Astyanax mexicanus: one gene and its partner. The protein of the gene in region 1 purifies or fractionates together with the protein of each later gene. This does not show direct contact. Links are inferred from orthologs where the notes say so. Each region holds a gene or a part of one and is shown on either strand. Other genes may lie near its edges.

The links.
Region 2: the proteins of ulk3 (region 1) and cdc37 purify together in Homo sapiens (affinity purification with mass spectrometry; 3 studies listed by BioGRID and IntAct, with this or other methods). This does not show direct contact. The link is inferred for Astyanax mexicanus from reciprocal best matches to the Homo sapiens genes ULK3 and CDC37.

Annotation. Positions count from the first base shown.
Region 1 is NC_064416.1:38,659,300-38,670,544, reverse strand, and holds the start of ulk3 (serine/threonine-protein kinase ULK3), read left to right. Parts: upstream 1-5,874; 5' UTR 5,875-5,966; intron 5,967-7,451; 5' UTR 7,452-7,461; coding exon 7,462-7,581; intron 7,582-11,172; coding exon 11,173-11,245. Other genes in the region: tars3 (threonine--tRNA ligase 1, cytoplasmic), read right to left, coding at 59-182, 564-751, 2,023-2,115, 3,277-3,630. UniProt on the Homo sapiens protein: Serine/threonine protein kinase that acts as a regulator of Sonic hedgehog (SHH) signaling and autophagy.
Region 2 is NC_064428.1:42,795,389-42,806,606, forward strand, and holds the start of cdc37 (hsp90 co-chaperone Cdc37), read left to right. Parts: upstream 1-6,483; 5' UTR 6,484-6,625; coding exon 6,626-6,733; intron 6,734-9,635; coding exon 9,636-9,917; intron 9,918-10,948; coding exon 10,949-11,054; intron 11,055-11,163; coding exon 11,164-11,218. Other genes in the region: probable serine/threonine-protein kinase nek3, read left to right, coding at 3,068-3,406, 3,674-3,922, 4,495-4,697. UniProt on the Homo sapiens protein: Co-chaperone that binds to numerous kinases and promotes their interaction with the Hsp90 complex, resulting in stabilization and promotion of their activity. Inhibits HSP90AA1 ATPase activity.

The DNA of each region.
Region 1 (11,245 bases):
CTAATGGGCAATATAAAAAAAGTTTAATATCAAATATTTAAAAGCGTCAGATACTCACGGCTTGAGCGTCTTCATGGTCGAAGCGCAAAAGCTCCAGTGAACAGTCCTTCTCCAGCGGCCGGTCCAGATCCCACAGGCCACCGTCCACACGGGCAATCACACAGTTATCAGCCAGACCCTGACTGCAGCAATACACAGACACAACACACATCATAGAACGCAGCGTTTTTATGGAATATCTTATAGCACTTCATGCTTCCCTCTACTGACAACTTTTATTTCATTTTCCAGCAGAACTACCCACACTGCCAAAAGTACCAATTGGTCTGATTTTCTGAGACACTGATATTTGGGTTTTCATTGTCTGTAAGCCATAATCATCAAAAATAAAAGAAATAAACATTTAAAATAGATCACTCTGTGTGTAATACATCTATATATAATATGTGAATTTCATATTTTTAATGAATTAATGAAATAAAGTAATTTTTTAATGACATTATAATATTATGAGATGACTAGTATATACTAGTTGTGTAAATAAAAAAATACTATATGTATACCTGATGCCACAGGCCAGCTGGTATGGGGTGGTGATCCAAGACTGAGCCTCCACTTTCTGTCCATCAGGCAGGACGACTGAAATGGGCTGGCTGTTAGCCGCCTGCTTGGCCAGAATGGCGTCGCTCTCCTTCTTCAGTCGATTGTACAGCTCTAAGCGCTCGGAGATGTAGCTCGGCCAAGGCTTTAGCTGTAGTGGGCAAAGATGCATGTTAGCATGAGGCTAATCTTGCAGGTATTAGAGCTTAGCTAACTCAGCTGGACACTGGCAGTTTTTTAAATGTTGCATCATTCATGAAGTCATCTAGGTAGCTATATGAATGAGGTTCTACTGATCCCATGCAGTGATTTCCAGTATAGATTCAACAGCATGCACAAGCAATCACCATGTATTGTCCCCTACACACCAGGATTTTAAGGTTTATTATTTACAGTTTTCATAATGTTATTTAAAGAGCATTTTTTTTAGAATTGCTTCTCAAATTTGAAACATGGAGCCCACAGTTGCTTCTGAAGGCTCACTCTCTCTAAATGCTCTTTTAAAACCCAGTCACATGAGTTAGTTCCAATATTCCTATTGCAGCTGGTGCAGAACCGGACTCTCTAAATCTGAATAAAACCAAAGACATGGCTGTTGACTTGAGGAGGGCACAAGGTTTTCTTTTATTAGCATGTTCATCATGCCATTACCAGGAGCACTAGTTACATAAATAACCCTTAACCCTGTTAAATCCTTGTCTGAAAGAAAATTTACTAACGCTAAATGGAACCTCACATACAGAATCACCCACACAATATATGCTAATTACTGCAACTATCTTTATTTATAATAATTACAGAGAGTAGGAGTCTGACTGGAACAGACACAGTCTTACTGTGATATAATAAGTATAATTAGAGTCTGGACAGACTGATCCCGCTGCTGATCACGGGTCAGTACTAACATGGACACACACCAAAGCCAGTCTAAAAAGAAGGCAGGCTTTATGATGCAATAGCAATGCAATCTATACGGGCTGTGGATCATGAGCTCACTCTTCTGTTCAGTGCTGTAATCATAATTCAGACAGAAAAATCTAGTTTAAACTAGTCTGATACACCCTGCTGTAATTTTCTGATTCATATTCATGAAAAACATGTTTTAGTGATGCTTAACTAGTATAGGCTATTAACAATTTGGTATAGTCACCGCTTAAGAACAAGACAAGGCAGATTAAGTGTTTATCATCATCATCATGTGTTTAGGTTACATTTCCTCAAGCCTTTTTTTCGTGTTAATATTTTGTGTGTTTATAATTTATATTAATATATGCTTGTGACTGTTTATGTATATGAGCATTTTATATACACATACATGCTCTGTTCTATATATTGCTTTGGAGGGTTGAGGCAAGATTGAAAGAGCTTGTTTCTTCTAGTTTTGTATTTCAAAGAAGATCTATAAATAAAAAATATATATACTTCTCCCGCTCCAGCTTCTCCTTTGGGTTTCTCCTTCTTTTTGCTCTTCTCTGCTGCATTTTGGGCATCTGGAGTTTTCGGCAGAGCAGCATTCTGGAGTGTGCATTTCAAAAGAGAACAAAATATTAAAATACAAATCATATTAATACATCTCCCAAAATGAGCAAGCAACATCTAAAAGGAAAGGTCCATTATATTTAGCATTATTTGGTTCTGTATAAGAGCTGATCTAAACTGACAGAAGGACACAGAAAAAATACAACAATAAATTTGCTTTGTGGCATCTTCATTATTTCAGCACACACTGTAACTGTGATATGATGGGTTGTATACTGGTAACATTAAAGGTTGGACTGTGTTTTATTTAGCTAGGGCTGCGTAATATATTGCTTTAACATCGATATTGCAATGCGCTTCCCTCAAAAAAAAAAAAGTAAATTAATTATTTAATTAAAAATAAATAAATAAATAAATTGCTACATAATTAAAACTTTCAACAAAACACAGTGCAGCTGTCCATAAAAAAAAGTGTATCGTCCAAAACAGCAACTTTACAGGAGCGCAAAAAAAAAAACTTCTTAACTTTCAATGGTAATGAATACAAAAGGATTTTATTTTATTTTAGGTAATTCTGAAGAATTCCTATTGGTCCATTTATCAAGACTTTTTCACACAGAGTAAGGGATAATGTGTGTGTGTTCACATGCTCACTACACTAAAATCAAAATCAACAAAATGTTAAATATTGTTTAGTATTGGACAGCGACGATATACACATTTAATGTGTGTTTAATTTCGCATAATTTTGCTGTCTGGGATGTACTATTGTATTTCTTTAGTGAGGAGAGCCTATTAATGTCAAAGATCCAGCGTGTCCACTTTTATGTTTCACTATTTACAAAAATATAAAAATAATATAAAATAAATATTAAATAAAATAAATATTTTATTATAAAATAATATAATAAACAGAGTATTTTGGTACTACCCTACTATTTCATCATTATCTTTGTCAGTGACATGAAATATTAAATTAAATTGACAGTTTTATTTTTTGCAATTATTTCTGGGGCAATATTTTATACAGCAAAACAGGTTATTGTGACAGGCCTACACAAAATACACTGTTTTAAGGTTTGGATTTAATTTAGCTTATATTACACATAGGCCATATCACTCCCCCAGCTCTCCCCAGTGATAATAACCCTGGTATAATTAATAAATCTCTGTTATGAGTGTATCAGTGTATCAGACCTTGTTCTGGGCTGTGTCTCTGGAGGTTGTTTCTCTGGTGCTCCTCTGTTTCTCCTGAACGCTGTTGTTGTTGTTGGTGGTGGTGGTGGTGGTGGTGTTACCGGGCTCTGGGTCTCGGCGCGGCTCCGGTCCCGGTCCCGGTCCCGGCTCGGCCTGCAGGCCGCGGCGGAGGTGTATCAGCCGGTATCTGAGCTTCTCGTTCTCGCTGCGCAGGTTCTCCAGCTCAGCGCTGCTCGCCAGCTCCGCGGCGACCTGCCCGCTAACCAGCCCGTCCCGCAGGCGGCCGATCTCCCGCCCCAGAGCCTCGATCTGCCGCTCCTGAGCGGCTAAACGTGCCGCCATGCGGTCCGCCATGTTTAAATCCCCCTTTCCGTCTGACCCCCGGGGTCTCTTATTTATTTCATTTATAATAAACTGGACTTTAGAGATATGGAGACATCTAGTGGACATTTATGATATTTAACTGAACACAAAGTAATTCACACTCAGACTTCAGATATATACAGCTCTGGAAAAAAAATGAGACCACTTACAATTATGAGTTTTTTAATTTCACCAAATTGAAAACCTCTGGAATATAATCAAGAAGAAGAAGAATGATCACAAGCCAATATACAAACCAAGCTGAACTATTGCTGAATTTTAGCAGCAAGAGTGGCATAAAGTTATCCAAAAGCAGTGTGTAAGACTGGTGGTGGAGAACATGCCAAGATTCATGAAAACTGTGATTAAAAACTAAAAATTCCATCAAATATTGATTTCTAAACTCTTAAAACTTTATGAACATGAACTTGTTTTCTTTGCAGTATCTACAAGCTCTGCATCTTTTTTTTATTTCAGCTATTTCTTATTTTCTGCAAATAAATGCTCTAAATGACAATATTTTTATTTGGAATTTGGGAGACATGTTGTCTGTAGTTTATACAATAAAACAACAATGTTCATTTTACTCAAACACATACCTATAAACAGCAAAATCAGAGAAACTGATTCAGAAACTGAAGTTGTGTCTTATTTTTTCCCCAGAGCTGTTTATAGGGGTTTGAACATGTTGATAATAAAAGAGTCTGCAAAACGTATTGGAGTACAATATTAAAATAGTCATTTTTTATATAATAGTAAAATAGTATTTTTGTATTTGAAGTTATTTGTATAATGTAGTAGGAAAAAAACAAGATGTAGTGGAGTTAAAGTAAAAATTTCACCCAAAATTGTATCTTTGAGGACAGATCTGCACTCTCTTTGTATTTTAATCTGGAATAGTTTACTCTACTTGTAAGTAGTGAATATGAGGCGTGTGCGACATCTGGTGGACATTCAGAGTATTGCAGCGTGTGTGCAGCGTAATGAAAACACATGGGTACATTTGATTGTAACACTCCTATTAGAAAGCTTAGGCCACAAAATGTTTTGCTTACATTATGTAAAGAATTTAGTCCTTTAACCCTGTATGAAATTAATTGTATTTTTTAGAGGAAAAATATCATTTTTTATATTCATGTGATATAGCAAACTTAAACATAGATTTTAATGTATCTTATGATGGTCAGATTATAGATGGATGCAACTCCATGCTCAAACCCTGGTTAATCAGCTAATGAGCCCAGCATGATTAAAGCTTATGTAGAAGAGATTTTTTTAACTGACAGTATTTGTAAAAAAAAAAAAAAAAAAAAAGAAGATTTAAAAAATGAATAAAATGTTGAATGTGCTAACATGCTGTGTGTGTTTTAGAGATTTTGGTCTATGTACAGTAAAAAAAAAAAACATGGAAAACTGCATGGAGTTAATTTGGTGCCAAAATGTTTATACAAAAATATTAAATCTGTATTCAAAATTGCAGATTATGTACATATTGGTACAAAAAATAAAGTAGAAAAAAATAGGAGTTCCAGTAGTGAAAAGACAACAATAACAAAATCACAAAAATGAAGGCAACAACTGGCAACATCTAAACACAAGCAATTTTTAAATAACTGCAAAGAATAACAAAGTTACCAAGTATATTTCTTTCAGTTTTGAATTTTCAACGTACAGTTTTTCCTTTTGATTTTTACAATTTTGATTGCAGATTTAATTGTCATAGATTTTACTCTGTAAGCTATTTTTTAGAGTGGAGAGACACACAGTCCAAGCTGCTTCAGGTCTAGTGTGAAGTTTCTACAATCAGCGATGGTTTGGAGAGACATGTCATCTGCAGGTGTTGATCCACTGTGTTTTAATATCAAGTCTAAAGTCAGTGCAGTTTTTTTTCCAGAAAATCTTACAGCACTTCATGCTTCTCTCTGCTAACAACTTTTAGATGCGGATTTCATTTTCCAGCAGGACTTAGCACACTGCCCACACTGATACAAAAAGTACCAATTGGTCTTATATAATATTAAAATTTTCTGAGAAACTTATTTTTAGGTTTTCATTGGCAGTATTCCAAAAATCAACAACATCATACATCAAAAATATTCTATTTTTTTAGGTAACCTGGATATTTTATCTAGAATATTTATTAGACAGTTTTATTAATGGTGGGAGTGTTCAGTGGAGATGTGAAGCGTGGCCGGTAGGTGGCAGCACTGGGGCGCAGTTTTCGCTGCGTGCTGACGTCATTTTCAGCTGACAGTAAGCATGCACAGGAAGAAAACATCGGGCTGCAGTTCATCCAGCTGAAGCGGCTCTTTACCCCAGAAAGGAAGGTAAAACAGCTCAGAAACAGCCATATTTACAGATTTAAACCCTCCCTGTGGGACTACAGTGAAGCTGCGGTATTGGTCAGCCTGTTATTCAGTTATCTAGCTGAGCGCTGAAGCGGAAATACTGTATTTTATATATTCATGACTCCAGAATGATGTAACTTAGTTAACCTAACTAGTAAACAAGCTAACTAACCTATTTATTTAATGAGCTGTTGCTTATTTATTCAAGCCAATTTCAGCTTTGTTTAGACAGCACAGGGTCTTCAGGGTAAACAGGGTAACTCCAGAAGAAAGGTTCTGTCTGTCTGTCTGTGGGCTTTATAAATACAGTGATATTAAAACATTTGGGTACCCCGGACCTTTTTTATAATTTTTCTTTATAAATCATTGATTGTTCAGATGAGCAATTTCAGTTAAATATATAATATAGCAGATGAACACAGTGATATCTGTGAAGTGATTTACAAAAAGTGTGAAATTCTTTAAACTAAATTAGGCAGGTGTATAAATTTGGGCTCGCCAAAAGAAAAATTACATCAATATTTAGCATATCCTCCTTTTGCAGAAATAACAGCCTCTAAACTTTTCCTATAGCTTCCAATGAGAGTCTGGCTTCTGGTTGAAGGTACTTTGGATCCTTCTTCTTTATAAAACATCTCCAGTTCAGTCAGGTTTGATGGTTTCTGAGCATAAATAGCCCCTTTAAATCACATCACAGATTTTTAGTAATAATATTCAGGTCTGGAGACTGAGATGATCTGAGATGATCATTCCAGAATGTTGTACTTGTTCCTCTGCACTAGTGCTTTAGTAGATTTTGAGCAGTGTTTAGGGTCGTTGTCTTGTTGAAGGATCCAGCCCCAGCGCTTTAACTTTCTCACTGATTCTTCAACACTGTTCTTAAGAATCTGCTGATATTGACTGGAATCCATGCGATTCTTAACTTAACAAGATTCCCAGTACCTGCACTGATCACACAGCCCCACAGCGTGATGGAACCATAGCAATCTTAGCAAGTCAAATTCTAATTTTAAAGCAATAAATCTTTTTTCTCCCCTGATAAGAGTTTTTTGTCTTTCTAAGCACTGTAAGAGTTAGATTATTTATGAAATAATTATCTTACTTAGTCTTACTTAGAAGAGACTCAGTTTTACTTCACTCATTTTGAGACTTTGCGGTTGCTTTTTAAAGAAATCTTACTAAGAAAAAAATGATTTTATTTAAAGAGAACACAAAAGCATTTTATACACACATAAACTGAAAGGAACTACAGATTTAACATATTGTATTGAATTAATCATTATTTGTATTTGTAGTCATTTTGATAATGTATTTGAGTAAAATGTAATAAATATGAGTTTGAAATGTATTGAAATTATATGTAAATACTAAAGTACAAGCTACTAAGTACAGTGGGATTACATGTACTTCATTACTGTCCAGCACTGTGTAATGTAGTGTATTTATGTATCTGGATCTTGGCAGGAGCTGGTGGATGTGTCCTGTCCAGGGAAGCATGGCCTCGAGCTTTGCCCCACCGAAGCTCGCTGACTTCATTCTGACTGAGAAACTTGGGAGTGGCACCTATGCTACCGTCTACAAAGCCTACAGGAAGGTGGGTGGGATATAGTTTAAATAGGCCCATGTTTGAGAAACATATCCAATATTTAGACAGTGCTTCTACTTAGAGCTGCTTTCACTGCTTTAAAATGTGCCCACTGCTGACACATGTGTGATTTCTGTGCACACAGCTCAATTCCCAGTGGCAAGCTTTCGATAGAAAGCTTTAATCTCCCAGCATTGGGCTGTAGGGCAGTGGAACTGTGTGGAACTGTGTTTTCTGAAATGATTGAGCTCAATCTGCTACTTCTGCAATGAGCTGGAGTGGCGGAATGACTGAGGTGCTGCTAATTTAGATGAATGCAATCAGATTCTTATATCTAGAGTAAAATACTAGTGTTACATCTAGCCTAAAGCCCTGCCAGCAGCCAGTAAATGAGTAAATGAGGAATACTGACTCTTATTAGGCTTGATTTCAGAGAAAACACTGAATATATACTGTGGTTTTGCACTTTTTGGTGTGAGGATTTGATTGTGCTCACTCACTGTAGAAGCTAGTGAAGTCAACCCAAAAGTATGGGATGGAGCATCATGGAACACTTGATGCTGTGGGGGGTGGGGTAAGGGGGGAGGGGGCTCTATACCCCTCTATCCCATTCCTGGTATGAAGTACGCTGCCAATTAGGGCTGTGTATTTGCAAGAACATGGCTATACGATATGTATCATAATACAGGGGTAACGACAAAACACAACACAAAATGAACCTATGTCTGACAACAATCTTCACATGTAAACTAATAATTCGATTCGTTTTTAAGATTCAGTACAAAATTACAAAACAAAATATTATGATACTTTGATATATTGATATTTTCTTACAACCCTTACACAGCCAGTAGGTTTATGTTAACTTTTATTGTAGTAAAACATGATAAAAAAGTACTTACCTTTGATGAATAGCACACCTCCATTCTCCCACAGTGTTCCAAGATCCAGAAATTTTAACAGTTTGTTTAAACACCCTTCAGACTGGGTGACACAGGCTTAATTTGCCCTGATAAATCGCTTTTCCACCATTATTCAGGCTCAAAGTAGCTCTACACCTCCTTGTTAGAATCTGGAGAGCCTTGACATTTAAAACAAGGCATTAATAACTTAAAAAGTGCCCAAGAAGCTTATTAAAAACACTGTTTACCCATAATGCTAACTTCAGCTCCAAGCGCCGCCATTACTCATGGCACCGGCTGCTATATACATAGACTCCGCATAGTGTAGCAGCTGGCATCAGCTTCTTGTGCACCTTTTTAAGTTATTAATGCCTCGTTTAAAATGTCAAGGCTTTCCAGATTTCATTTTCATTTCATTTTCCGGATTTTCAATTTTTGGATCTCGGAACGCTGTGGGAGAACGGAGATGTGCTATTCATCAAAGGTTTGTACTTTTATCATGTTTTACTACAACAAAAGTCCATTTTCCACTAGAGTTTTCCTTTAAGTATATATCAGTTGTAATTGACCTATATTTAAATACAACTTAAAAGTATTAGATTGTGCTTTTGAGGGCTTTTTTCATATACGTTTTTCAAACTCAAGTACAATTAAGAATGGGTTATTTTAAACATCATTTTTAACACACTTTAAGTATATTGTAAATGTACTACTTTGCGTATTGTCATTAAGTATATTAAAAAGATGCTTATTCTTAACCTAATTTAACATATTTTAATGCTCTTAACTATACTTCCTTCTCACAAGGGTAGCTGAATATATTTATTAATAGAGGTGTTCACAAACATTTGGATATGACATGGAGTAAAACATACAGTTAGTGTCTGCAGCACTAAATGAGTCAAACCCTGTGGTTTAAACTCTGTGGTTGATTCATATTCATAGTTTAATGAAACCTATTAGGTCACATGACAGTCTTTGAAGAGTATGGGTGTGAAATGCTATGATGTGGCTGTTTTGACAGAGATATAAATAGCTGATATATCTGTCATAGGCCAACTCACACCCGCACAAGCACACACACAGATTAATAACATTACTAAACGGATTGTCATAACTTTGGGATCCAAAGTGCAAAAGTCCAGTCATATTGACCCTTATTAATAAAGAAACAATTGTGTATGATTATATTAAATCATAAAATGACAGCATTGTAATTCCAATTTAATTGCTCAATTTCATCTGTACAGTTGTACAGTACTAGACTGCAACATTTTCAAGATTCAGCATCTATTTTATTATCAATAACATAATAGTTGTTTTCCTTACAAAAGTTACAAACCTACAATAGATGCACTTTTTAGTTATGTGCTCACACATATATACCAAGGCTGAATCTTTTAAAGTTCTTTTTAAAGATATGCTTCTTTATCACATAAATGAAATATCTTATATCATATATAATAGAAATACTGTCAATCTGATACAACTGATAAGAAAAATTGTGCAGTTTCCACATTATGAACTATAGAAAATGTCCAGAAGATCAGGACTGCAGCGTTTAGCTGAGGATTATTTGTGTCAGGGGGATTCTCATTACAGAAAATGCTCCCTGTTGTTTGGGAAAGGGGCGGGGCCTGTGTAGTAAGACATGATATAACCCAATGTGAATTCTCTGACCTGCTCTATTCACACACTATTTGCTTAGTTTTAGTCTTCTGCCTAAATGTCTGATAGATTTTAGTCATTTAGTTCTTAGTTTTAGTCTAGTTGTATTCAATAAAAACTGAAAACATTGTAGTCCAATTTTATTCAAAACATTTAGTCTAATTTTAGTCAATTTAAAGGTACAGTTCAATTAACTCTACATGTATTTTTAATTATTTTACAGTTTTATATTTGTGTTATTATTAGTGATATTTCATTTATTGCAAGCTTTTATTAAAACAATAGCATTTAAGTTTTGTTGTGTTTTACTATGCCAATATTAAATAGTTTTAAAACTACTGAGCTATGTAGACAGTGAGACAAGTAAAGGCAAGTGGCCAGTAGTGGGAGCTTTTTTTTCAAGCGTTTCTTGAATCAGGTGGGAAGCAGTTATTTCGTACGTTTTTTTCTGTTGTTTTAAATGTGTTTTTCTGATGCAACTTTAAATAACATCAATTTCAATGCAAAAACTTTTTTTTAATGTTTTTTGTTTTATGATGTAATGTGACATTAATGAATATAATCTTCATCCATTGACTTCCATTGAATGTTAAAAAGTTTTTCCACCTTCTGCTGCGAAGTTATTATTTTGGAGATAAAAGGTTTTTGCATGACAGCACGATATGGAAATTTCTCTTCCTGTTATCTGACATATTTGAGTTCATACTGTAGATGGATATACAGTCCCATCCAAAAGTATTGGAACAGCGAGTCCAATCCATTTATTTCTGCTGTAGACTGAAAACATTTGGGTTTGACATTAAAAGATTAACATTTCAGCTTGTATTTCCAGGTATTTACATTTGGATCTGATGCACAGTTCAGAAGATAGCACCTTATATCTGAACCCACCCATTTTTATTGTGTTAGCACACTAATCATTGTGTAAAATTATCCAATTAGTATTTTGGGGGAAATCAAATTGTGATCTGATTCCCAGAAGTACATGAAGCAAAGTGTGAACAGACTGTTTGTTTGTTGGTTTGTTTAGACTGACAGCAGAGAGGCGGTGGCCGTGAAGGTGGTCAGTAAGAAGAGTCTGAACAAAGCTTCTATGGAGAACC
Region 2 (11,218 bases), on another chromosome or scaffold:
GGGGGGATGTGGGGGTTTGGTGTGAGGGTGTTTTGGTGGTTGGGGGGATGTGGGGGTTTGGTGTGAGGGTGTTTTGGTGGTTGGGGGATGTGGGGGTTTGGTGTGAGGGTGTTTTGGTGGTTGGGGGGATGTGGGGGTTTGGTGTGAGGGTGTTTTGGTGGTTGGGGGGATGTGGGGGTTTGGTGTGAGGGTGTTTTGGTGGTTGGGGGGATGTGGGGGTTTGGTGTGAGGGTGTTTTGGTGGTTGGGGGATGTGGGGGTTTGGTGTGAGGGTGTTTTGGTGGTTGGGGGGATGTGGGGGTTTGGTGTCAGGGTGTTTTGGTGGTTGGGGGGATGTGGGGGTTTGGTGTCAGGGTGTTTTGGTGGTTGGTGTTTAATGGTGTTGGTTTTGTTTCTTCTGTGTTCTACAGATAACTGCCCAATCCGGCTTTCCCATGATTCCCTGCTGGTGGAATATGGTAATGCTGTTAAAGTCAACTGCTCCCTAACGACCACACTTAATGAACCCTACATGCTGGGCTGGGAGGCTGTGATTCATCCAGTAGAACCAGTACAAGACACCACCAGTACAGTGTGGAATGTTTCCAGTCTGACGGAGTGGGAGATTAACACAAAAGATATATTCTGTTTTCTGACTGTTATCGGTGGAACACAGTGCGAGAAGCCCTTAAAACTCAACCTCTACAGTGAGTACAGTAATCCCACCTAATCTACACACTCATCACAGACTGTAACACACTACAGCAGGGGTGGGCAATTAGTTTTCTCAAGGGGACACTTGAGAAACCTGACATAACATAAAAGTTATTCAAAGACCAGCATCATCTTAACTTAATAAAGAACAGTAAAGTAAACATTATAGCAATGTAATGAAAATGATAAGCACATAATTATATAAATATTTAACCAACATTTATGAAAAAATGTGTTGAAAATGTGCAACATTAACAGTGTTAGAAAGTAGCAGCACTATCAGCTATCAAGTTTTTCAAAAGACCAGCTTCATTTAACTTTATACAAAAAAATGCAATACATGCATTTGTATGTTTGTTTTACCTCAGTTTTTTACGTCTAGTGAGAAAAATCTACCCTGTATGACCAACTGAATATATATTTTTCCTACGTTTGGTATCCAAAATGATACAGTAATATCACTTAAATATATATATCTTAAAAACATGAGAAAGAGAACTTTAGGAATTTACTGATATGATATGATAACCCTTTTTTTATTTTCATGTTTTATAGGACTGTAAATTATTTTCTTATTTTTCAGTATTATTGCCGGAAACATCCATAATGAATACAATTAATGTTCTTCAGGACTTGGGTGGTATCATTTGATAGCCATTTGATTTGTTTTTTTATAGGATTAATTTTTTAATTAATCCCATATTTTTTTATTTCTAAAATGTTCCACTGTTTTACAGATAGTTGTGTTTCTGGTGTATATTTGTTGATTAGAGCTGGTTGAATTATGTTTATTCAGCTGTAAAACTAGTTTCTGTTCTATTTCAGTCTCTGCCTCTGCTCCTAAAGCCCTGCTGTGCACGCAGCTACCGTAATACACTGTTTAGACGTGCATACAGGTTTTCACTGCGGACAGTGCGATTTACAGATTAACTTTTACCTTCTAATCTCACGCGGGCCGAGCAAAGATGGTCAGAGGGCCGGTTGTGGCCCACGGGCTGTACAATGTGCAGGTCTGCATTACAGGAAGTGTAGGGGGCGCTCTATAATGCGCTATAATGTTCATATGATCCACACACTCATTCTGACAGAGTGTAATACACTACAGGAAGTGTAGGGGGTGCTCTATAATGCTCTATAGTGTTCATATGATCCACACACTCATTCTGACAGACTGTAACACACTACAGGAAGTGTAGGGGGTGCTCTATAATGGTCTATAATGTTCTTATGATCCACACACTTATTCTGGGATACTGTAATACACTACAGGAAGCGTAGGGGGCGCTCTATAATACGCTATAATGTTCATATGATCCACACACTCATTCTGAGAGACTGTAATACACTACAGGAAGTGTAGGGGGTGCTCTATAATGTTCATATGATCCACACACTCATTCAGAGAGACTGTAACACACTACAGGAAGCGTAATGAGCACTCTATAATGCTCTATAATGTTCATATGTTCCACACGCTCATTCTGACAGACTGTAATACACTACAGGAAGCGTAGGGGGTGCTCTATAATGCTCTATAATGGTCATATGATCCACACGCTCATTCTGACAGACTGAAATATATTACAGGGAGTGCCGGGGGCGCTCTATAATGGTCATATGATCCACACGCTCATTCTGACAGACTGTAATACACTACAGGAAGTGTAGGGGGTGCTCTATAATGCTCTACAATGTTCATATGATCCACACACTCATTCTGACAGACTGTAATCCACAACAGGATGCATAGGAGGTGCTCTATAATGCTCTATAATGGTCACATGATCCACACGCTCATTCTGACAGACTGTAATACACTACAGGAAGTGTAGGGGGCGCTCTATAATGGTCATATGATCCACACGCTCATTCTGACAGACTGTAATACACTACAGGAAGCGTAGGGAGCACTCTATAATGCTCTATAATGTTTATATGATCCACACACTCATTCTGACAGAGTGTAATACAATACAGGAAGTGCAGGGAGCACTCTATAATGGTATATAATGTTCATATGATCCACACGCTCATTCTGACAGACTGTAATACACTATAGGTAGCGTAGGGGGTGCTCTATAATGCTCTATAAAGTTTGTATGATCCACACACTCAATCTGACAGAGTGTAATACAATACAGGAAGCGCAGGGGGCGCTCTATAATGCTCTATAATGTTTATATGATCCACATGCTCATGCTGACAGACTGTAATACACTACAGGAAGTGTAGGGGGCGCTCTATAATACTCTATAATGGTCATATGATCCACACGCTCATTCTGACAGACTGTAATACACTACAGGAAGTGTAGGGGGCGCTCTATAATGCTCTATAATGGTCATTGTGATGTTTTGGTTGTGGTTTCTCTGCAGAGCGTGCGGACAGTGTGGTGATAGTTCGTGATAATGGTGATTGGTCAGAAGGTGAGCAGAGGAAGCTGAAGTGTGAGATTAAGAATGTGGGTCCAGTCAGTAATCTTACAGTGCAGTGGACCAGACTGGACCAAAACCAAACCAGAACCATCAGGGAGTCCAGGAATTTCACCATTTCTAGTAGAATGGAAGAAAAGGGGGATGTGACGGACACTCTGGAGGTTTGGACCAGTCCAGAAGAAGATGGAGTCCAGTATCAGTGTTCGGCTCTACTGGACCTGATCCAGTTCAAACAACAACAAGTGGACGAATCCCAACCCTTCAACATAACCGTACTCTGTGAGTTCACCTGTAAACCAATCTGAATTTTTACTGTAGTCCAGTCCTGTTCCTTCAACTTACTTCATTCTTTCTCTGCTGGAAACATTTGGGGAATTTAGCGAGTCAGCTAACGTCAACTAGCATGGAATTCTTTAGGGTTTGAGTTATTTGCATACAACATTAAATCAGAACACAGAGTTGTGTTGTCATTGTTGTGCAGTTTAACTCTAATGGTATGTCTCAGAGAAGTAGCAATTGGTTCTTTCTTTATTCTTTTCCCATCAGATAAACCCATCATAACACGGCCGTCTGCTGCCACTGTATCCAAAACTGCGGGCGACGCGCTGACGTTTTACTGTTCGGCACGAGGAAAACCGAAGCCTCAGTTTACCTGGACCACAGGTAACTCAAACATCACGCACTCCCCCCTCCTCAACATCAGCAACGTCCAGTCAGAACATCAGGGAAATTACACCTGTATCGCCTCCAACAGCAAAGGCTCCGCCTCCGTGACGGTGACGGTTACCGTTTCAGGTGAGTGAAATTCAGGGTAAACGTCCATCACATGTACAGGTGTAGTTACTGCAGGGCTGATGCTGCATGTTTCAGATTTTGCTCCCCCAAAATCAAAGTGAATCCTACCATTATCACGTTTTTTCACTCTCCTGAAAACATTAATCCCATTAGCAACTAATAACACTTTGCCCTTATTAACCAATTAACCAATTAACCGCATCCAAGATCCTGCAGGAACCTTCTGAGCTATCAGTCTCAATCCCACTATAGCTTTATTTATTTCAGCCAAATTTCATGTAAATAGAAATTATATTTCTGGAGAAAATGAGCCCTAAACATTGTTTCCCAGCAGTGATCATTTTCTTAATAAACAAAAATATTTTTTCATGACCTTTTTTCATACAGAAAACAAAATGAGAACTAAATAAAAAGTAACAAGTAAAAACTAAGACTATGACATGTATTATGTTTTTATAAAGAAATAAAATTTTATATTTCTCCAGTGATCAGAACATATTACTTAAAGATTAGAACAGCCTAAACATAAATCACACAAATCTGACCTAATCTCCTGATGTTCCTTCATCTAGTGCCCTCATCAGAAGACAACCTGCCAATCATCGCTAGCTGTGTTGCGGTTGCGGTGGCATTGCTGATAGTTGGACTCTTTGTTTGGTACTGCAAGCATTACCGGCACACACACATGGGCCGCTACATCCTGAGGAACCTGGCGTCCCGGCGGCACAACGCCAACGTGGCCCATTGCGACTCTCAGACCCTCCAGTCACACTGATGTTCTGATGTTTTGAAGTTTTCTGAAAAACCCCACGCAGCACAGCGGTCTCAGATATTCTAGCCCGCATACCACTGGTGGTCACAATTATGAACAGTGAATAAATGGTATTTTTATCTTCAGTAAACTGATCTGAGAGAAATAGTTTCCATATATATGTAATGTGTACAGGCTGCAGGTGCTAATCTTAGCTAATACACAATACAGCACAATACACCTTCTCATTGAATGGATTATGTATTTAGAAATAACTGACCTACTACTTTACACATTTTTTTTGCATTAAAAATAATAAATCTAATAATGGTTGATTTTCTTTGCTGTAAATGTGTTTGTTACACTGGAGGGAAAAACCTAACAATGCATAATAGACTTTTTTATTATAGTTATTTACAGGAGCTGTATGTAATATATTTACAATGTACAACTTTATAAAATTATGATGTGTGATCAGATATTAAGAAAATATGATAAGTTTAAGCTTAACATCAGAGCTTCAGTCAGTATATTCTTCTTTAGATTGTTTTTACTGAGCAGAAGTCTGTACAATGTAGCATCAGAGGAGTGGTTATGGGTGTGGAAACACAACACTTTCCACAATGCTCTGGCACTGGAAAACTATTTAACCCAGTGAATGGAGAAGGCTAAATTGTCCAGATCAAAGACTGAGCTGAACAGACACATAGTGTCGGAAAATGTCTTGAAGAATCTTTAAGAAAACTATTAACCTTACAAGTGTTCTACTTTTAGGTTCCTGATAGAGCACTTCATACGAAATTATGTCCAGAGGCATTTGCAAGTGATGAAATTGTATGTAGAACTGCAAATGTATAACAATCATACACATGAGTTCTATTTTTAATTACTGTAATCATATAATAGAGATTTAACAGTATTTTCCCCTGATAAAACAGAACCTAATGAGATGATAATGAACTCAGGAAGAACTCAGGCTTTAAAATACAGCAGAACCTGAGCTGTGGAGGAAACACCTTTAACATTAGTGTTGACACAGAGACCACAGGATATGTTCAGAGGTCCTGTATAGTCCAGGCTTTGCTTGGGCCAGAACTGATCGCTCAATGAACCAAACAATGAACCAAGTCTCAGAACCGCCTGCAGATTCTGCATCTCCGCTCTGTAGTACTGAATCTCCTGAAATTCTGTTCTTTCTTTAGTCTTTAGCCACCCCTAGTGGAGCAACTTAATCATTACAGCCTCTTTCTGGTTTACTATAAATACTACTGGTTTATTATTAATCAGATTATTAAGCTGATCAGTTTAATTATTAAACACTGTACACGTGTGTGTTTGTATTTCAGTAAAATAAGTATTTATGATATATGTAAACCAGAGTGATTTATAATTCAATAAATGTTTGGTTTTTATACCTCAGTACTCCTGCCCCTGCACACACTTTCATTTTATACCTCTGAATTTCTAATTCCTCTTATATGTAAGAATATGTTTTAATCGTATGTATAATTGTATTTTTATGTATACAATATATTGTTTTATATACATGAGTATATATATATATATATATATATATATATATATATATATATATATATATATTATTTATATTAGAATTGTGTGTGTGTATTAGATGTTTAGATAATTGTGTATAGATTATGTGTATTGATTATGTATTGTGATATGCATGCATCGATTACTGCACCGTGCGTTTCTATTGGACTGGTGACACTGTTGCTATGGTAACCGCTGCAGCTCTCTGCGGTAACACAGCCGGAAGGGGCGTGGTGATCCACCTCGTTGCCCCGCCCTCTGGCGCCGGAAGTGTTGGAGAGTTCCAGAAGGCGCGTGGGGTGGAGAGGAGAGCTCTAGAAGAAAGAGGAGAGCGCGATTATTGATTATTATTATACAAAATCAATCTGATTGGGAATTAGAGGAGAATAAACAGAGCCATGACAACTATCGATTACAGCGTGTGGGATCATATCGAGGTGTCTGACGATGAGGATGATACACACCCCAACATCGACACACCGAGCCTGTTCAGGTGGAGACACCAGGTAACAACACACTTGATTCTGTACACAGGTTCCACCTTATACACCTGTTATATAGAGGAGATCTGGCTGCTCTCTGTTTTCTGTTCTACTGTAATACTGGACCTTTCTGTGTTTTACATTACTCACAAGAGAGACCAGTTATTTGCTGCTTCATTCTCTAAATCTTTAAAAATCTACCTCAGTATCTGCTGTGATCATCTATGTTCTATATGTTACATATCTCTGCACCTTATTCTCTCTTAAACACTGCACTGTCCTGCCTGTTAAACTGTGTCGTCTGTTGTATTTATTGTAGTGTTATAGTTTTATGTTGCACTATCATAACACTTTTACAATTTTATGTTGTGCATTGTATTGTTGTTCCATGTTGCACCATGGATCCGAGATCAGTAAGTTTCTTACACTGTGTATCTGTACTCTTTAGTCTTTTGACTTGAGTTTCAGGCTAAAACCCACAAATACATCAAGCCTAAATCCTGCTTAATACAGAAATATATATAATATATAACAGAAATATATAATATATATATAAACCCATCTGAGTCATTTATCATCACATCATGTTTAAACCAGTGTAAATCATTTCCTTTTCGCCGTGGAACAATTGAAGTATTAAACTGTAATAATGGACATTTACCTTACCTGTACAAATCCGTGTACATCCACTGCATGGTCATTGTGCTCAAACAGAACTTACAGTAAATTAAACACATCTACATCGATTATTTAACTAATAAGAATATAAGAGGTAATATAGTAATAGTGAGTTATGTGCTTTCTGGCTGGAAACACCCCGATTAGCTATAAAGCTAAAGCTTAGTCTCAAAGCTTTGAAAGTTAAAAACCGAAAAATAATTGCAATTTTTGCATACGTAAGGCAGTAATACTAATCAAAACCAAACACGGGTAATTTCGTTAAATGGGGTTAGTAGAATATAGCACATTATAAATCAAATAATTAGTAAAATACTGGGAAAAAAATAATGCTGACTGTTAAACTAATGCAATTAAATCACAACCCCGTACTGACCCAGAGCTGTGACATGTCTATAACGCCACACTAGATAAAGCATTAATCACTAATGTAATGAGCTATATCGGGTTACTGCGCCTTAAATTATATAAATTATACAATATTAATAAAATCTACCTTAACAAACGCTAAGCTAAGCTAGCTTTGAGTGAACAGCAGCAGAGGCTAATTTCTTCTCAGAACTCAAACTCCACTATTGCTGAATTATAAATAAGTTAAACTTAATATACAGATTAATACACTAATGTACAGATAATTAACCGTTTATATGGTCAACAGAAAGACTGATATCACAGTAAATCCTCGCTGTTAGCCGCTGATAGCTAACCAGGCTTACAGTGTGACCGGTGGTGGAGCTAGCTTAGCTCATTTCCCCTCAGAACCGGAGCTAAATCTCACTACTGTCGCTTTTAACACACCAATAAAGCATTAAAGCATTTTAAATCATTAACCACGCGCTTTAAATCAGTTCCGCTGATTTCAGAATCTTACATTACATATAATAATAACCGAAAAATAATAAACACGGGACATTAGCTGATGCTAACCGCTAGCCTAGCTGACTCACTGAAAACTCTATACAGGCTAAGCTAAGCTAGGGTAAGCTAACTAATTCCTCAGACTGATTCTGACTACAATTTGTGAAAAACTCGAGTATTTTTCAGATTTTAAAGCAGCAGGTCGCTGATTTAAGAGATTAAATAAACACTGAAACGCAGTCGAAGCTAATTTACCTCAGAACTTTAAACTTAAAAACAGCAGTAAATGATCTGTATCTCCTAACGGGGTTAAACTCGGTTAAACCCGCCGCTTTATCTCAACTATCTCAATTTCTAATAACGGATTTAATTAAATAAAACAAGAAGATACGTGATTTAGATAATTAGCTCTTTAGGTTAGCTGGCTAACCCGTTAGCGGTGCTGCTGGATAAATTCTGCGTTTATATTACATTATATTATATAATGTTGTATTATTATATTCAATAATATTGTATTGTTTATATTATATTTTAATATATTGTATTGTTTGTTGTGGTTTAATGAAATCTGTTCACTGTTTCGAGCTGGACATTCTGTGTTTCAGCACAGCCAAATCAAATTAAATCAGAATTAACAGTGTTAATTAACAGGGTTAATTGTGATTCAAACACTTGTATTTTAGATTAACTGACACTACAGTGTTGTAAAGATGGTAGTATGTCATCTGTTACTATTGTGCCTGTGTTTAAATTTATCTAAATTATCAATAAAATGATTTAATATAAAAGTTATATTTTCTGTTAACAGGCGTGGGTGTGTGAGGAGAAGGTCTATATACATTTTCCTCTTTTAATGTATCCTCTTTTTAATCAGTTGATTAATCTTTAGGATTAGGGAGTGGGGTTCTTTGCTGGTGTTGGTAAAAGTATAGACTGGCTAAGCTGGTTAAGCTTCAGTAAGCTAGTGCTGATCAACTTATTATTTTAGAACAGGGTCCTGTTATTTTTTGTGTAGGAAATGCATAGATTTCGTTCATTGCTTCAGGTATAAATTCTAAATCCTTTATTAAATCTGCATTATCATGATGAGTCTAATAGGAGTTCTTGTTCTTAAAGTTAATGTAAATTGACTCTGGGTATAAAAAAATTCAGCTTTAGCTTATTGTTAGTTTTATTGTTGTAAATATTTTGATTATTCAGAATTACTCTGTAATGTCTGTATCATTGACAGTATTGTATAATATTTTTGTTAGTCTGCTCTAGATCAGCAGGTCTGCTTAATGCCACACGTTTATTCTGACAGACTATAGTACACTACAGAAAATGTAGGGGGTGCTATTGTTTTGTGTCTATCTCTGTCCTGAAGCCTCTGATTGTTTTACACCCTCAGGCTCGAGTGGAGCGTATGGAGGCATTTCAGAAACAGGGGGAGGAACTGGAGAAGAACCTGGCGGAGAGCAGGAAGAAGCTTCAGGAAGTTCAGAAGAAGGTCCAGGAACTCTCACTGAAGAGTACAGAGGAGGCCAAGCAGCAGCTGGTCAAAGCTCAGGAGGAGGAGAAGCGTCTGAAGAAGGAGGAAAGGAACTGTGAGAAGAAGGTGGACGAGTATCGCAGAGAGGAGAAGAAGATGCCCTGGAATGTGGACACGCTTAGCAAAGAAGGATTCAGCAAGGTGAGAAACACCTCAGAGGTCGGACCGTTTATAGATTTTACTCTACTACAGAGAAAAGCTGGGTGTAAAAACCTGTTCTGTAGTAACTGTAGTGTGAGTACCACTTACTGTCTGTAAGACATTTAATATTGTTTTCAGGTGGATTCTAAAGCTCAATACTTTTATATTTCTGCGTCAAACCTACGCCGTAGTTTGTGTACCTAGCAGCAGAGCGTGTTTATACTTCTGCATGCATGTATCAGCAGCTCTGCGTCGCTCTGCAGTTTAAATTGCAAAAAGAATGTGTGTGAGAGAACACGGGGCCGGCTGACCAATCACAGCTGTGGCTGTCCGTGTCGCACAACATATAGTTACATTTCCAGAGAGATGCAGAGTAGAGTAAGCAGTGGTGCGTAGGCTCGATGCAGAAGTATACATTTGCCTTTAGGTATTTTAGATCATAAATCAGGATGTTTTAGGTAATTGCTGTGGTATCTAGAGCTAAACTAAAAACACAGAGGTTCTTGAGTTGCTCCGTGTCACTGTAGTTTTAAATGAAGGCGTGGTACTCTAATCATTTTAAACCCACTGCCATCACCTCCAACAGTGTAATATACAGTCTTATTGCCCGTATACCAGAAGTGTCTCGCCTCTTCCGGAGTTGAGTTGACAGAACCTGAGGATACTGTTCTGAGTATGAAGAAACATCTCATTGAGTTTCTGCAGACTGTGAATAAGTTGGAATATTTTACCCACATGTGAATTTGCACAGGAGTATTATTAGCTGTTTTGTTTATGGACAGTTGGCATGGCTGGAGTCTGATATGAGCTCTGATCTGATCACCTGCTCTGTATTTTACTTTAGTCTGGACTGAAACACTTCTGATTCACATGGAGGTTCTTTATCATTTGCTTTCACAAAAATAAATATTTTGCACCATCAGAATGTGCAGCACTAATAAACCTTTCACTTTAGAGTTTAGTATAATGTTACTGCTGCTCTGTATTAATCTCTCTCTCTCTCTCTCTCTCTCTCTCTCTCTCTCTGATAGAGTGTACTGAATGTCAAGCCTGAAGTAAAGGAAGAGACGGAGGAGGAGAAAGAGGAGAAGCATAAAACCTTCGTGGAGAAATATGAAAAACAGATAAAACACTTTGGTAAGTCGCTGTGTGTGAAAGTAATATTGCTTTATTGAATCTGGATCAGAAAGACAGTGACTGGTTAGCGTGTGTGTGTGTGTGTGTGTGTGTGTGTGTGTGTGTGTAGGTATGCTGCGTCGCTGGGACGACAGTCAGAAGTACCTGTCGGATAATCCTCACCT